Linked DNA regions of Schizosaccharomyces pombe. Changing the gene in region 1 together with any one later gene gives a genetic interaction. Each region holds a gene or a part of one and is shown on either strand. Other genes may lie near its edges. The genes, in order: cog8 and sly1.

The links.
Region 2: of cog8 (region 1) and sly1, a mutation in one rescues a mutant of the other (synthetic rescue), as found in Schizosaccharomyces pombe (one large-scale study listed by BioGRID).

What each region holds. Positions count from the first base shown.
Region 1 is NC_003423.3:1,488,194-1,493,197, forward strand, and holds cog8 (COG complex subunit Cog8), read left to right. Parts: upstream 1-2,246; 5' UTR 2,247-2,417; coding exon 2,418-3,554; 3' UTR 3,555-3,761; downstream 3,762-5,004. Other genes in the region: bifunctional histidinol-phosphate aminotransferase/imidazole acetol phosphate transaminase His3, read right to left, coding at 18-480, 540-1,151, 1,337-1,348, 1,404-1,471; mrps28 (mitochondrial 37S ribosomal protein uS15m), read right to left, coding at 3,762-4,628; random septum position protein, DNAJ domain protein Rsp1, read right to left, coding at 4,876-5,004. UniProt on the Schizosaccharomyces pombe protein: Required for normal Golgi function.
Region 2 is NC_003421.2:1,921,015-1,926,117, forward strand, and holds sly1 (SNARE-binding protein Sly1), read left to right. Parts: upstream 1-2,145; 5' UTR 2,146-2,182; coding exon 2,183-2,234; intron 2,235-2,297; coding exon 2,298-2,566; intron 2,567-2,667; coding exon 2,668-3,755; exon of another isoform or gene 3,756-3,797; coding exon 3,798-3,906; exon of another isoform or gene 3,907-3,959; coding exon 3,960-4,361; 3' UTR 4,362-4,459; downstream 4,460-5,103. Other genes in the region: mug24 (rrm type RNA-binding protein), read left to right, coding at 1-232; ppn1 (cleavage and polyadenylation specificity factor complex-associated protein), read right to left, coding at 4,732-5,103.

The DNA.
Region 1 (5,004 bases):
GGCCAGAAAAGGAAACCTCATTTTTTTGTATAGTATTCCTGCAATACAAGTTTAATAGTTTTTAGTAATATCGTATTCTCTTCTTCTGTGCCAACAGTGATACGCAATGCTCCTTCGCAAAGAGGCTCTGTACCTCTAAATCTAACAACGACTTTGTGCATCGTGGCCATTTGTAAATAAAGATATTTTGCGGCATCGTTACTAGGCTTACCTCCTTCTGGTCTATCTAAAACCTGAATGAGGATAAAATTTGCATCATAACCACCTATAATCTTGCCCATTCCTTTAATGGTAGTAAGCTCTTTGCAAAGACGAACTCTTTGCTGTATAATAGCATCTCTATATGTATGCATTTTATCAATCGACTGAGGGGATAAAGCATCCAAAGCTAAACGAGAGGTGGGTTCGCTAATGTTATAAGGAGCCTTTAATGAGTTCATAATGGTAGCAATAGGTTTACTTGTCAAACAAAATCCGATACTAAACATCATAGTTAGTAAAGAAATAATATTAATGCTTAAAAGCTTAGATTAACTTACCGAATTCCTGCTAGACCGAAAGATTTCGAAAGGGTTTGGCAAACAGCAAGGTTTGGATATTCATTGACAAGAGTTAAGGCAGACATATCGGGAGCAGAGAAATCAATATAGGCCTCATCGACGACAACGATTCCATTCCATGTAGGGTGCTCCAAAATCTTCTTAATATCCTCGAGTTTAAGAGCCTTAGCTGTTGGATTACCAGGGGAACAAGCAAAAAAGACTTTGATGGCACTATCTTTAGAAAGTGTTTCGCAAATAGCATCGACGTTCAAATTGAAATCTGGTTCAAGGAGAACCTTAACAACCTCAACATCGTTGATTTTTGCAGAGACCGTATACATTCCGTACGAAGGTGGACACATCAAAATCTTATCTTTTCCAGGAATACAAGAAATGCGAATTAAGGAGTCAATAATTTCATCGCTGCCAACACCCATGCAAATGTTATCTGGTGTTAGTGGCTTGGTAATGGAAAGCTCTTTGTTTCTCAAATCACATAATCTTTGCTTTACTTCGATCTGTCTAGGATCCGGATAACGATTGAATTCCACACCGTCCACGGAAATAACCGAACCATAAGCACATTCATTGGCATCAAGAAGGACACCTCTATTAAGATTAGCAAAAAATATATAGGCGAGAAAAGGGTAAAAAACAACAAAGGCCTGAAATCGCCAGCTCCAACAACAACAGTAAACAGGGAGTACTTCATTGCTTTCCAAGCAGCTAATAAAATATCTTTCTAGAAGTAGCCCTCATATCAATTATTACCCAAATATAAAGATAAAACATACTCAGAGAAGTCACTATATTCTATGTTAATATATATCACGCTTTCTAGTTTATCAAGTTATTACATACTCTCTCGCACAGCGATAAGGCTGAAGTTCTAAGATATTTTTACGAAGACAAGTATTCAAATCAAACATCGTATCTCTTTCGATGTGTTTTTGTTAAAGTAAGAAGAAAGCGATCGATGAGATTAATTAATAATTAACCTAAGATGCAGGTGATATCTATAAATATATAGTGTGTAGCAATGTGAGTCTTTAATTCATTACAACGTGTATCACCGTGTCATTATATCCAATAAATTCAGAAACCTGAAGAGGAAAGAGAAATAAAGCTCCATATGTCTTTCATTTCCAAATACAATTATAAGTGCAATAGTAAAGAAAACGTTGAAAGCTTGATAAAAATTTCGTTACTATACTAATGCTGTAAAGAAAATGCACCATTGTTTACAGTTCGCTGAAATTAAAACACATATTTACTAGACTTTTGCCGTCCGAGAAATAGATATTTGTTACTTAAATTCATAATTCATTACATTTTATGAGGTTGTTTCAATTGCTACATGCTTTTTATCTAGCTATTTTATTTTCACTATACAGGCTGCATAGATGAGGCAGTTCAATCCAGTCTTATTCACAATCTATTTCATTACCTAGGATAACCATTTTGGATTCATAACTTTTTGGCCTACGATTTATGTAAAAGTTAAATAAATTAAATTGTCGCAGCGCTTTTGCTTTATTTTATTCAAAGAAAATGCGAATACTATTGCTCAACCTTTTTTAATTAAATATTGTTTAAATCCTTTAAACAAAACGATCGGAAAATCTAGCCAGTGTTCCAAGATGAAGATGCAAGTTTCTACTCGAGAATGGATCCTTACATTAAGGCTGGTGCTTTCCAACCCTTACTACACATAAGGTACTTATATTCGTAACGCATTCATCCAAACGTGTAGCTCTTTTAGATTCTATTAGTTTCTTTTTTTTAGAAGATAGTTGTGAATGATTTTTTTACGCGTTTTCACTAAGAATTGTTTTGCTGTACAACCTGACTTGAAAGCTTAAAGATCTTGAAGACATGGATAGTATAGGGGATAATGTAACGGAAATGGATGCTTTTGTTCGAGATCTTACTATGAAACCGTATGCAGAACTGGAGAAACGAAAAGCCGAATTGCATGCTCAAAAATTAAAATTGGTGCAAAAACGCCAGCAACTGTTACGAGACAATTACAATGTATTAGTCGATTATGCTAGGAATCAAGATGCCTTTTATCAACTTCTCGAGAACAGTAGACACGATTTTAAAGAGCTTGTTTTACATACAAATCAGCTATATGAACCTGTCAAGAGAAGCCAAAACTTTCTAACTTCAATTTCAGAGCATTACAGAGATGCAAAACTAATGCATCAAGTTCAGCCGCAATTAAGTAGTATACTGGAATTACCAGAGTTGATGAACGCTTGTATCGAAAGGAATTACTTTTCCGAAACGTTGGAATTTCAAGCACTTGCGTATCGATTAAAAGATCGATTTGGTACAAACTCTATCATTCAAGAACTAATTACTCAAGTTGAAACGCTGGTGGTTAAACTTACTGAGAAACTTATTTTACAGCTACAGAAGCCATTAAAGCTTTACTCATTAATCAAAGTAGTGACCTATCTCCGGGTAACTGCAAAACTGTCCGAAGCCCAATTGAAATACGTTTTTCTTTATTTTTCATGGAAACAACTACAAACAAGCCTTCGAAATTTAGTGCCATTGCTTGACTACAATAATCCTGAGTTGTACTTACGGAGATATATACAGGTCATTCGTGATCGCGCATTTTCTCTCCTTTTTCAATATCAAAGTGTATTCGGTGAGTCATCAAATGATCGTTTAAACGCTGCAGGTACAGTAGATATACCTAATTCCACCAGCACTTCAGCGTCACCTTTTGAAATGGATCCCGAAGGCTTCAATAACTTTGGTCAAAATATTCTTTCGTCCTTCGTTCGTAAACTACAACTTGAAATTTGCTATGTCTTACAAAAATTTATGCCCAATGTTAAAGATTCTACTTCCAAATTCTCACTACTCCTTCAGCTTTATTATTGCAATCAAAGCTTAACGAAAGTGGGAACAGACATTTCTATACCACTCTCCAAAATACTTGGTAGCGAATGGTTAGAAATGATCCATTCTCAATCTTCTGAGAAACAGGCGTAGATATATTTTTTCCTAAAAAAAAAAAAACAAATAATTAATTGTTCTTATTACTCATTTTAAGGGTAAGTGCTAAGCCAAAAACTTACTATCCAATAGGTGTAAACAGTAATGATTGATAAGGATGTTTGTTAAACATCTAGTTAAGAGATTAGCATGTGAGAGGGAATTTAACTATATGAAACTTCAAATATAAATTTCGTCAAATTATTACTGCGTGACTTCTCGTAAAACTAATTCGTCCGTAAGGCCAAGATTTTTTATACAATGGACATATCTGTCAAAATTTACTTTCCGTAAATATTTGAGCATCCTTTGACGTTGATGAACATAGTATCGAAGCATCCTTTTTCCAGTTTGATCTTTTTTATGATTCTTGCAATGATCGCTTAACGCTAAAATTCGACTTGTGTAGACAGCAGCTTGTACTTCAGGACTTCCAGTATCTCGCTCATTTCTAGCAAAGGATTCTACAGCAAGCTGTTTATTATTCAACCTTAAGGTCTTAGAATTCGAATTTTCAATATTAAATATACGGTGAATGCTCTCTTTTCTAAGATCGCTTAATTGACTCATCCTTTCTAACCTTTCAGCAAGTGGATGAAGTCGCTCGAATCCATCTTGATTTGATTCCAAAGATGTATCACTAGAAGGAAATTCGTTAACCTCATTAAGCTTTATAAAATCTTTAGTTTCTTCTGTAGCCGAGGCCCTAATCTTTTCAAATTTCTCTACAATAAGATTGATTGTTTCCATTGATGCAGGAAATTTTATACTACGTATAGGAAAATTTGGTTTCTTTCTTTCCACCAATATTTCGTACGGCTTTAATAATCTCGCTATCCATTCACTCGAATGTCCGATGATAGGGTCAGCTAATGTATCCAAATTTTGCTTTCGCAGCTCTTCCCTTCTTTTCAAATTTTGTTTGCGACGTTGGTTGGCTTTTTGTTTTTTTAAACCTTGTAAAATGCATGTTGTATGAAACTGAGACTTTTTGTTTAATAAAAGGCATTGTTGCATCAAGTTTGTAGACGCCAATTTCCAAGGCTGAAAAGCCCCTTCAAAAAGTCTCATCTTAAATTAACTGAGTAATGTAAAATAAAATGAAAAGTCGTGCTACAATTCGCTCCCTGAGTAAGCTATTAAACACATGCCCTTTTTACAAAGTCGTTGGTTCTGGTGTATGCTTGAAGTATGGGTAAGTGAACTGGGTAAAAAATAATATTAATAAATTGAATGTTAAACGTTATGAAGAAGAAATAAAATTTTCAAATAAAAATTTTAATACTAAATTTAATACTTAATGAGGAAATAATAATCATTATATACCAAAAGATGCGAAAAGGCTTTCCTTTAAAGATTGTAGTTCTTCCAAAGCTCTCAAATGCATTTGTTCATATGCATAAAATAACTGTATAGCTTGTGACCCTTCCTTCCAATTATCAATTAA
Region 2 (5,103 bases), on another chromosome or scaffold:
AAAGTCTAAATCCAACTCTCCTATCCAACAGAATGTTCCATTGCAGCAATTTATTACTCCACCGTTTTCATATCCTGTAGCTTATTGTCCAGCAATTCCTCCAGGTTCGGATCCAATATTAAATTTTGGTATCCAGTATCAGCCCTTTATCCCCTTTACAGCCGTTCCCTCTTTTCCTTTCAACTGCAATGTTCCGAACTATCCTCAAACATCCGACCACGAAAACGACTAGTTCCAATACTCGCGAAGTAACTTTTGTTCATCAGCAAGTCAGTATGTTTCCATTTATTTTTGCTTATTCTCAATTCTACGGGTATTCACTCAGCATGCAAATTTAGTTTGTAACAGAGACTCCCAAAAACTTAACACTAACTCCTCTGAAAAAAACTTGAAAATTGTCCAAACCTAACTAAACATTGCCTTAAAAAAATCTAAAATTCCAAAAAAAATTGAAAAAGAAAAAATTCAGAAAAAAAACTCTTTTTATTCTTGACTCTAATTAAACCTTATTACTGAAAGTTTTTGATTTATCGTTTTTACACGTTTTGATTGTTTCCCACCCAAATTTGAAATTTTTTTGCTTTGTCACATTACTACTCTTCCGTGATTTCCAATGTCTTCTTTTAAATTATGTAATTTTTTGTCTTTAAAGAAAAATTACCTTCAACCTTCTGAGCAGAGTTTTATTCATTCAATGTGTCAATTAGTTTTTCAAACCATTCTTCTATCACTAAGAGAAGCCGGTCTGTGAACTTTTACTTTTCTTACCTATTAAAGATTACTTACTTCTTGCTGATGAATTCATGAACCCTTCTCGATCCGTTACTTCATGGGTAGTTTGTTCATTTACCATTATCCATTTTTTACTATTACCACAATATTTTCCCATTTGCTACTGTTTCCGTTGATGCCGGTTTTAAGCTAACCCACCAGCCAATTTTGCATTTTTCCAGCTTGCTATCATTAAACCAACTATTCTCACTTATACACATTATCATTGTACTATCCACTGACGAATTCTTTACTATTTCTCCCGTTTGATTACAGCTCAGCTTTCCAGAATCATTGTTATTGTTCCTCGTCATGATCACTATTATCCTTTGTTCACAACCAATTAATTGACTATCTTCATTCTATCATTCCATCGACCCCATCACCAGTTCGTTTACCATTTGCTTTCTTGATAGCATTCAGCTTGATCACACTAATTTTATTTTTTTCTTGAGCTTCCATATTTATCGCTTATTCTTGCTTTTACTATTCTAGGATTAACGTACTCACCATTTTCTTTTCTTTCAAAGCTCAATTATTGACGTTACTCCCAACACTTTGCTTACTACCGTTTTTTGTTATCATAATCGTTCTGTCATTTCATTTTGTCATCACTATCCTTGTCCTTATTCCGTTTTTTTTGAGATTTTTGTTTTATCATTATCATTATTCGAGTCCGACACCTTCTTTGTCATATTTTCGGTTTACTTTGCCCAATTCCTTCCATCAATACATTGTTTAATTATATTTTCCATCCATCATTGCTGTTAATTAATTACTATTACGATGATTAGGTCTACGGTATCATTATCATCATAATGATCAATGAATAATTTCATATTTTGTTTAATTCAGTCTAAAAAAATAAACGAAGACATGCCTTCTACTTATTTGATCCCATGAGCAACTTTAGCCATCGTATATGATCCTAGACACTTAGAATATGCAAATCATTAATGGCTAAATTCATAATTAAGAGCTTTTTGCGTTTGGATACTCTTTTAATAATTGTATCTTTATAAGTAAATAGTAAAGTAAGAACACCTCTTAGAAATATATGTAATGTAAGCACAGTTAGAAAGCTGAGATTAAATCTTAGAAAAGTAAACTACTGAACGCAAGATTGATTTCCTTCCTACGCTTTGAATGTTTCCGGTGCACTAGTACTGTTTTTTTAAATATCTAAAAATTTAATGAAAATCAGAAATCTTTAGTAAAGATTGAAGACTACAAGATTTGGTAAAACAGCCAAACCTCAATATTTATTTTGTTGTTTACCTTTTTGAACATTTAGCGAGACTCGCTTCACTGCCATACACCACCATATGAAGGGTATGATTCTTATGTTTATCCCTCAACACAAATCATCCTTCTAAGTGCTTATATTAGTGCCAAAGTTGGAATTGGCACGATGTCTATTGCATCTGTAAAAACACCGTCTTCTTTGAGAGAAGCTCAAATTCGTAAGTAGTGTTGCTAATAAAACTGTATAATTCTCAGTAAGCATTGCTAATATGAACCTTTAGAATCTTTAGAAAAACTGCTTAATTTGAACCAAGACGTCAACGAACTTGAATCAAGCCCTCAACATGCCTCTAATTTTCCCATTTGGAAAGTTTTAATCTTCGATAAGGCAGGGTCGGAGACTATTTCTTCTGTTCTCAGAATTAGTGATCTCAGAAAACATGGCGTTACGGTTCACATGAATATCACTTCGTTTCGTCAGCCTATTGCTGATGTCCCAGCTATTTACTTTGTTCAACCTACTCAAGAAAACATTGAGCTAATAATAGAGGTATGGATTTCTCAGTATCATAATTTTCAATCAATTAATCTTATTGTCGGATACCAAATACTTTTTTGTATTACAGTTCAGCAAGCTAACATATTTTAAAGGATCTTTCGAAGGGTCTTTACGAATCAGCCTATGTCTGTTTTTCATCTACCATTTCTCGTGCTCTTCTGGAACAGTTTGCCGAATTGGCGTCGAAAACAAATACAAGTCACATGATTCATCAAGTGTATGACCAGTATCTTAATTATGTTGTGTTAGAAAGTGATTTTTTTTCTCTTCAACTGCCCAAAATCTTTCATACGTTCCATAACCCGTCTTCAGATGAGGCTCTCATTAATTCACGCGTTCAGGATATTGTAAATGGTCTCTTTTCAGTGATCGTTACACTCGGAACCATTCCTATCATTCGTTGCCCACAAGGATCGGCTGCTGAGATGGTTGCCCAAAAGTTGAATCAACGTCTAAAGGACCATTTAATGAATACCAAGGATGCTTTTGTTTCTGTTAATCCAAAACCAAGGCCAATTCTTATTTTACTGGATAGAACGGTCGATTTGATTCCAATGATAAATCATTCTTGGACTTACCAAGCTTTGATTCATGATACCCTAAATATGCAACTCAATAGGATTACCGTAGAGTCAGTCGATGATGGAAAAATGACAAAGCGGTTTTACGATTTAGATGGAAATGATTTTTTCTGGGAAAGTAATGCTAGCAAACCATTTCCTAAAGTTGCCGAAAACATTGATGAAGAGTTGACTCGATATAAAAATGATGCTAGTGAAATTACCCGAAAATCCGGTGTTTCTTCACTTGAAGAAGTTAATGTTGACGCATTTGCTGATTCGACTTATTTAAAAAGTGCAGTTAGCTTGCTCCCAGAGCTTACAGCTCGTAAACAAATCCTTGACATGCATATGAATATAGCAACTGCATTATTAAAAGCTATTCAAGAGCGCCATTTAGATGACTTTTTTCAGTTAGAAGATAATATAACTGGACTAAACAGAAGTGCCATTCTCGCTTGCATCAATAACAAGGAACAAGGAACTCCCGAAGACAAGCTACGATTTTTTATAATTTGGTATTTAAGTGTTGATTCCGTACCGGCTTCTGATTTGCAGGCATATGAAGAGGCGTTGGTTAACAATGGCTGTACATTAGAAGCATTAAATTTTGTTAAGAGGTATACTGATTGATGTTATTGGTTTTTTCTAACTTATATTAGGGTTCGTGAAATAACTAAAATGACCATGTTAGCATCTTCTACCACAAGACCAGCTACGGGTCAAACAGGAGATAATTTATTTCGTGGATTTAGCAGTCTTTCCACAAGGGTAAGAATAGTTTGACACTTTTTCACCTTAAAGCACATATTAATTGTTTTTAGTTTACCGACCGCTTTAAAGAAGCCGGTATTGGTGGCCTTGAAAATATTATTTCGGGGGTTAGAAATCTGATTCCCTTCAGGAAGGATGGGACTATTACATCTATTGTTCAGAGTCTAATGGACCCTGGCTCTTCTCCTGCCTCCAAACAAACAGAGTCTTATCTATTATTAGATCCCAAATCAGCTCGTGCTATTACTGTAAACAATGATCCTAGGGCCATGAACAAAAGACAGACTTTTAGTGAAGCAATTGTTTGCGTACTAGGAGGTGGTAATTATTTAGAATATGGTAATCTGGCTGATTGGGCGCGTGAACAAAATCCTAAGAAGCGTATCATATACGGTAGTACCGACATATTATCGCCATCTGAATTTATGGAAGAAATGGCTTCTCTATCTTAAAAAATTATTTAGTTTTATTTTTTGGCCATCATGTTTGTTCAGCCAATATTGTATGAAATAAATGATTTACTCTTAATTTGATACATGACTTTTTTGTCGAATTTGTGTAGTCCATCATCGTATTGAAAATTTGGAAAGCATCAATGTTCATTATACGCAAATCGCGGTTATTTGTAAACGACATATACTTTCAGACCAAGAGCTGAGGGAACAGAAAAAAGAAAATGTAATTGCTGTTCTAAAACTCAAACAAAAAAAAAAAAAAAAAAATTAACAAAAAAAAATTTCAAAAACATATAATTCATAAGATTCTCAGTTATAACTTAAGTTAGACATGGCTTAAAATATGTAAGTTGTGAAAATCTTCAGTTTATATAGCATTCGAGTAATTTGGTATCGAAAGAGATGGATTTTGTAAAACGTTTGATGAAGCATCTGATATAGAAGATGACAAATTAGAAAAAATTGAACTTAATTGCGAATTCGAAGTAGCTGAGTATGCATTCGTGTTATTTTCAGAAACTTGCTGCACTAAACCATTAAATCCCAATTCAGTTGTTGCTTGAGTGTCAGACGAGACTAGCTTGATGTGAGCAGGAGGACGAGAATCATCGAATTCTCGAATAACAGGCAAATCCAAAATAATGTTAAAAGTGGAGATATCCTTACTTTCATTCTTCTCACGTTCTATTTCGCTAGTGGCTTCCGGGGTCAAATTCCGTTCATTCCCTCCACATTTGTA